Drosophila melanogaster: one gene and its partner. The protein of the gene in region 1 purifies or fractionates together with the protein of each later gene. This does not show direct contact. Each region holds a gene or a part of one and is shown in the gene's direction. Other genes may lie near its edges.

Region 1 (3,753 bases):
TGCCTCTTAGTATGATATGAAAAACAAAACAATTTTGATTTGAAAAGTCTTTCATAGCACGCGTCTAGGCAGTTTTTTAAGTGGTTTCAAAACCCAGAGAATGATATTTAAAGATAGCCAAGACGTGATAAAAAAATACCCATAAAAACTATACTCAAATTTCAGCCGAAAGTTAAAATTAGAATGGCCGATTACAATCAATTCCACACTCAGTTCGATATCGAATAAATCGCATATTGAACATAAATGTTTTTAGAGTTTTTTTTTTTAAATTTCCGTTAGACTGTTAGTTTATCGATTAGCTTGAACTACTATGTACAATCAAATATTTAAGTCGCTTTAAGTAAGCCATTTTGTTAACCAATTGTTTTTTTTTTTTATAATCGTATATACACTTATTAAATTTAACGAGAATAAAGAGAAAATGGGAAGATTTCTTGTTTTTCGTTTCCACTCATCTCATCCATTGCAATGCGAATGAAAACCTTTTCATCATATGTATGTATGTATGTAATTATATACGTTACCTTAATTTTTTTGATACATGTATTTTTCAACATCTACTTCCTGCCCTCGAATGCTTTAAAAACTTTACACGAAAAAGAAAACAATTTAATATATATTATAAACAAAAAAGAAATGGACAAAGAAAAGCAAAAACAAAAAAAAAACAAGAAAAACCAAGTGAAGAAAAAACCAAAAAACAATTAAAACTTTACCTTTTGGATAAATCAATTTAAATGCATATTTTATATATATTTAAACATTTATTTATATATAACATGTATGATAAATATAAGTTGGAAAAACTTTGTCAAAGCAAAAAGTTTATATACTTATATTAAAGAAAAACAAAAAACAAATGGATGGAAGATGGGAAAGGAAAACCAAAAACCAAATAAATAATATTAAAAATGCAACATAACAAATTAACAAACAAGAAAACATCACATCTAGATAAATCTCTTAAAAATTTTCAATTTTATTATTAAACCGAAACCAAAGTTAATGGATAAACAAATTTATAAACTGTATTGCAAGGGGCAGCTGGCTGGCAAAAATTACATAAAATTTGCGCCGTTGTGACAAAAATTGTACGCAATCCAAGGAAGATAACAAATTAATTTACAAGATAAAGATGATGATAATGGAGATGTAGACGATGGAGAATAAATGAAGGCAACAACAAAATGCAGACAACAAGTTTTAACCTTAAGTGAATGCAAAACAAAATGAAGAAACCCAATGAAAACAAAATGATTATCAATGTTATTAACATAATTAATATTAACAAAAACGAAAAAAAAAGAACAAGCAAAAAAAAAAAACAAAAACAACCAAAAAAGAAATACAAAAACATTAAAAAAAATATACAAGTACCTATCCTGAGAATAAAATGCGCGCACATTTATTATTTCCTCTAAAAGTTCGTTTGAGTCGATTTCGCCACCGGGGAATTTCAGAATAAGCATATACATATTTAATCCCGGGAAGCATATCCACCAGTAGAAGGCTGGAGAAGTGGTGGACTGAGTGAGTAATGTCCAGAATTTGCTCGAAAATTAAGGAAGAGGTAAGTGTAAGTGGGGCGAAACCGACAGGTGGCCAAGAATTTCAATAATGAGGTTTTTACCTATATTGATAAATTCAGCATCTGGGCTCTCATATTCTCTAATTTTAATTCATTTTATAATGTTTAGTTAACTACGTTTAAAGAATAATTAAGATGAACGGCTTAATTGATAGCTTAAGCTTTTTTAAAATAAAATGTTTTCCAGTTGACATTTTGAATATGTACCAAGTCCAATTGGATATAATTATCAAAGTTTAGCACCTTGTGGTACATTGCTGTGCGGAATTTGTTCAGATTTTAATTTTGCGCCACCATCTACATCTTTAAAGTGAATATATTGTTAGAAAGGAGATAAAAGTAAGCGTATTCATTTAGAATATTAAATATACAGAGAAAGATATAATTTTGCACGTACCTTACTCGACTACTTCCATGACTTCCATTCCAGGTGCGAGTCTCGACTAGAGTACACATTCCAGCGGCCGTGTAGTAAGTTTGAGCTTTTGAGCCACGGCCACACTGCAGAAAATTCCATTAAAAAAAGCGAGAAAAAAAACGTAGCGAAAGAGAGAAATTACGACGTCTGCAGGGCCGAAGCGAAAAAAGTAGCAAATACTGAAACAGAGTGACTATGATTGTTGTTAAGTGAAAGCAGCACTTTTGGAAAACGGCTAGGCCAGCGGCGCAGGCCACGGAAGAAAGCAGCGGAGTCAGCGTTCCAAAATCAAAGCAAAGCCAGCGGAAAGTAAAGGAAAGCGAATCAAAGCTGGAAGGCGATAAAGCGGCTCACCAGGCACTCCAACAACAACAGCAACAATAGCAACAACAGTAGGAGCAGCAGCAACAACCACACAGCAGCAGCAGCAGCAGCCAGGGAAAGTACCAGAGTGTGAGTGAGTGAGTGAGCGAGTGTGCGTGTGCGTGTGTGTGGGTAGTGGAAACAGAACTGAGCCGTGAGAGAGCGAGAGCGGGAGAGCGAGAGCGGGAGAGCGAGCTAGTGGAAGTGGGAGCGGGAGAGGAGCAGTCCGATTCCGAATCCCGGAATAGAAACCAGGAAAAAGGAAACGGGAAGCAGTAGCCGTAGAAGCAGAGCCAAAAACCGAAACAGAAACAGAAGTCTCAACCATGTCTTCGAATAACCAGAGCAGCAGCGTTGCCCAGGCGGCAACAAGTGCCCGCACCGTCAGTGCCGGATCGGCGGAAGCCACAGATGCCAATAGTACCGCCTCGAACAACAACAATAATAGCAGCAGTACCGCTGCAGCGGGCAACAACAGCGACAACAGCAGTCCCACCACTGGAACGGGCACAGGAGCGAGCACTGGAAAGCTGCACGGCGGCCACACGGCAGTAAACACCAAGGAACGGGTGGTGGACAGCGTTCCCTTCCCGCCCAGCCACAAGCTGACCTTGGCGGAGGTGTTCGACCAACGCACCGGCAAGCCCAACCATGAGCTGCTCAAGCAGCACTTCATTCTTGAGGGCAGAATCGAGGAGGCGCCCGCCCTGAAAATCATCCAGGACGGAGCCGCCCTGCTGCGTCAGGAGAAGACGATGATCGATATTGAGGCGCCGGTGACGGTGTGCGGTGATATCCACGGCCAGTTCTACGACCTGATGAAGCTGTTCGAAGTGGGCGGCTCGCCCGCGAGCACCAAGTATCTGTTCCTGGGCGACTACGTCGATCGGGGCTACTTCAGCATCGAGTGCGTCCTGTATTTGTGGTCGCTAAAGATCACCTATCCGCAGACGCTGTTCCTGCTGCGCGGCAACCACGAGTGCCGGCACTTAACCGAGTACTTCACCTTCAAGCAGGAGTGCAAGATCAAGTACTCGGAGCGCGTGTACGACGCCTGCATGGACGCATTCGACTGCCTGCCGCTGGCGGCGCTAATGAACCAGCAGTTCCTCTGCGTGCACGGCGGTCTGTCGCCGGAGATACACGAGCTGGAGGACATCCGGCGGCTCGACCGCTTCAAGGAGCCGCCCGCCTTTGGCCCCATGTGCGACCTGCTGTGGTCCGATCCCCTGGAGGACTTTGGCAACGAGAAGAACTCGGACTTCTACACGCACAACTCCGTGCGCGGATGCTCGTACTTCTACAGCTACGCCGCCTGCTGCGACTTCCTGCAGAACAACAACCTGCTGTCGATCATCCGGGCGCACGAGGCGCAGGACGC
Region 2 (3,753 bases), on another chromosome or scaffold:
TCGCGTTGACAGAGGCCCAAAACTATCCCCCGCGTCTGAGCATTCCCGGAGCGGTAGCATCACCTGGTCAAGTGCCCCACCGACAGCCTGTGTTGAGAGTACGCCGTCCAGGAGCCTCATTGCGCCAGCAGAATACCATACTTCCAGCGGTGACGCAGCGCATCGCCATTGAGGAACCGCGTCCTGTGACGGAATCAGCGGAGGATGAGCAGCCGGAGCCATATCTGCCGAACCTTCTGCGGGAACAGCAGTTGGCTCAGGCCCAACAATCACAGTTCCAGCAGGCAGCAGCCGCCTTCCTGGCCGGCCAACAACCCGTTGAACAACCCTCGCCGGTGCAGCAGTTCCTTCAGTCCGATGACTCACAGCCGGCTGCCATCCTGCCTCCTCCTTCCTCGCGCTTCCCCGCTGAACGGCCATCTATTCCGACGCCCCTGAACCGTCCCGCCGCCTTCAATGATTTTGGCATTGGTCGGTTTGAGAACTCGCAGAGATTCGGATTGGAGCGACCTACGCCCACTGCAGCAGCGCCACCACCACCGCAACAACAGCCCCAGCGGGTGGCTGTGATCCGAACAAGACCAGCGTCTTCCGCTGCCCTACGACCTGAATCACCACCACCACAGCCTATGGCCAGGCCACGCCCTAAGCCTGTCCAGCCGCGTCCCATCATTGATCAAAATCAGCTACAGGACGATCACGTTGACCAGCAGCAGCAGCGTCGCCGTCAGCCCGTTTCCCAGACCATTCGCAAGTGGCGTGAGGAAAACGAGGACGGAAGCATCACATGGGGCTATGAGAACGACGACGGATCTTTCAAGGAGGAGCTGATCGGCACCGATTGCATCACCAAGTGAGTAAAACAGATTGAATCCAACCTCTTTCTCCCACTTACCCAAACTTCTCGTTCACCAGGGGAACCTATGGCTACGTTGATCCAGATGGCAACAAACGTGAGTACCACTATGAGACTGGAATCAAGTGCGATCCTAACAACCGCAACAACGAGGAAGAGCTACAAGAGAACGGGTTCGTCAACTACGAAGAGAATCGCGCCGTGCTGCCCAATGGTCTGGAGATCGACATGACGCAGTTGGGCAAGAAGAAGTCGAAGCGCCCGAACGGCTTTTACAGGAACTGATACTCCCCACAACATATAGTCCCTTAAGTCAAGCAGCTCGTAGTTCGTCTTACTTGTATTCCACTTATAATTATGTTCATACTCCATTGAGTGTCAAGTGAAAGATTAAAATGATTAGAATAGATGAAAGTGAAGAATCAGTACGGACGCTGGCGCCTGGCGGTTGGCGGCAGTCGGTTGGGCGGAGTAATCGAGATGTCCAGAAAGTCTCCAATGCTGAATTTGGCCTGAGCAAGTGTCTTATTATCATCGATTCCTTTTTGACCCGTGCAGGTCACTCCGATTTCGCGCATCTGGAAGTGATTACTCCGGAAGTTGGGGTACACGACAGCAAAGTCAAAGTAGGTGCCCTTCTTCCGGGTGTCCGGATTGACGTCTCGCACCAGAGAGGTCAGTTCGTGCAGGGTGGCGTCTTGCCAGGTGTAAATCTGAAGCTCGTTGGTGGGCACGTTGCCGAACATATACTCCGACACGGAGTGGTGTCGTCCCGTAGAGCAGAAGACACGGAGCAGCATAGGACAGGTCTGGAAAATACATAAACTTATTAACACATCTAGAGCAAACGCGAAGTAAACATGACCGGGGTCACAAACAAACCTTCTCGCGGTCAATCTGCTTGACCTGCGTCTTTTCCTCCACAATCATAGATTCCACGTTGGCCATGTCTCCCTATTCTGCGGTATATCGTTACTAATTTTCTTAATTTTAATACAAAATGCACTTTTAATGCCGTATATTCCGGCTTCTCTTTGCTCTTTTCGATAACTATATAATCGAATGCAGCAATCCTATCGCACATCGCCGAGTGTGACCGCTTGTCGCATACTTATCGGGTTTTAGTTTAATCGATGTTTCCAGAAGCACCAAAATTCGCCGTTTCTCAGCTCTAGTCCGAAAACAAAATTCGCTGTGAGCGGTTGTGTCGTCGAACGTGAAACTACGCGTCTCCGCGAATGACGCAGACTGGAAGCTTCCACTGGCATGACAATCGTCTAAAAACATTCAACAATAGCGGTGCACTTGCAAATTACTGTTGCCGCAACAACAATAACAACTGCTTCGCTAAGCAGTAGCTGCGACCACAACAACAAGGAGGAGAGCAACAACAACGGTGGAGAAGAGCCGTTTGTTATTGGCGCATAAAAGCAGAATCGCAATTTGGCCACTGAATAGTTTCTAAAAACGGTGAGTACATTGTGGCAGCGGTCCATTTGCATACCGAATTGAGATTTGCACTTTTTGCAAGAGTTTCTTATGTAACGGCAACAGCAGCAGCAGCAGCAGCTGAGTTTTACGTGCAAATTGTTGCCGTTGCTTTGCTTGTGTTGGTGCCGCAGCGTCTGCGAAAAGTCACCCTCTTTGCAACCACCCTTCACCCCCCCTCATATTTCATTTATGCATCGCTCTCTCGCTCGATTTGTTTATAAACATTCAGGAATAAGCCGCTGCTAAATACTGAACTGTTTTTATCTCAAGAAGTACAAGGTTATCCCATCCCCAGCCACCCACTTTCGATCTCCTCATTTTTATGCATGCGCCATCATTTGCCGATAATAGTGCCATTCTGTTTGTTGTTCTAAATGTTCTAGTTATTGCAGTAGCGTGGAAGGTGTGGTCATATGGTGGTTTCTATTGTGTCAACAAGGAATCAGTTTCCCAAAAGCTGCATATTTGTTTTTATTTTTAGTCAAATACCAAGAAATAAGTCAATCCAGACATTTGATATTTTTAGAAACGGAATAAACCCCGTTTAAGTGCACAGAAACAGAATCTGTGATTACCCTGGTAAAAGAAAAACACTAGAAGGGGAAAATACCCCACTTGAATTAACCCCCTGCTAAAGGGTATTTTCGCTTCGGCGTGTCTGAATATTTTTAGTTGGCTCGTGTTTTAAAGTCCTCGAATCCACTCCCACCTCGTTGATCCTGCAGCAGCTGTTTTTGCCACAGTTCCTGCTGCTCTTGCGTGGGAGCAGAATGTTTGTTGTTCCTGCTGTTGTTATTGAATCCCCCCTCCCCCCCCTTCGTCCTTGGCCATTGTTCTGTGGACTCGTTTTGGCCGGAGCGGAGGGGTTGCAGCCGTGACCGTGACTGACTGCCCGTAACCCCAGCAACGACCACATAGTGGACGATGTTATTGTTATCGCATACTTTGGTAACCAGTGCACTGTGGTCGGGATGACCAATATGAAGTAAGACGCATTAAAGCTGTTTCTTTAGTCACTTTAAAAAATGAAAAATTTATAAAGATAATACTCAGCAATACTTCTGCGACAAATTCACATTCGTAAATTATTCAAATTTGACAAAACAACGGAATGTTTAAAAACTTTATAGTCTTTTTAAGTTAGAATAAGTCTTAAGTTCTAGAAAGACCCCACGAAGTTGAAGAAAATGTACTTTAAGTGAAGTAAGTCTTCAGTGGCTTCAGTGGAATCGTATGTACTCGAATCGGAAGGTGGGTAAAGATGTGAACAATAAAGTAATATGTTTTTCGAAATTAAATTCCGCCCACTGTCCGTGTTCGTTGCTGCGGCTGCTGGCTGAATTTTAAACGTGCCAAGTCCTTGGTTGTAAACTGAAGACGTGCGGTGTGGGGCGATTTGTTGCCAC

Evidence for each region. Proteins that work in one complex are often made in the same cells at the same time.
Region 2: the proteins of Pp2B-14D (region 1) and sra purify together in Drosophila melanogaster (affinity purification with western blotting; 2 studies listed by BioGRID, with this or other methods). This does not show direct contact.

Annotation. Positions count from the first base shown.
Region 1 is NC_004354.4:16,558,353-16,562,105, reverse strand, and holds the start of Pp2B-14D (protein phosphatase 2B at 14D), read left to right. Parts: upstream 1-2,089; 5' UTR 2,090-2,698; coding exon 2,699-3,753. UniProt on the Drosophila melanogaster protein: Calcium-dependent, calmodulin-stimulated protein phosphatase. This subunit may have a role in the calmodulin activation of calcineurin.
Region 2 is NT_033777.3:16,184,974-16,188,726, forward strand, and holds the start of sra (sarah), read left to right. Parts: upstream 1-2,025; 5' UTR 2,026-2,326; exon of another isoform or gene 2,327-3,753. Other genes in the region: CG8927 (uncharacterized protein), read left to right, coding at 1-853, 916-1,141; Bin1 (bicoid interacting protein 1), read right to left, coding at 1,279-1,665, 1,739-1,804. UniProt on the Drosophila melanogaster protein: Required for elongation of meiosis I spindle. Critical for ovulation, meiotic progression in oocytes and female courtship behavior, including their postmating changes. Regulates female meiosis by controlling calcineurin activity in the germline.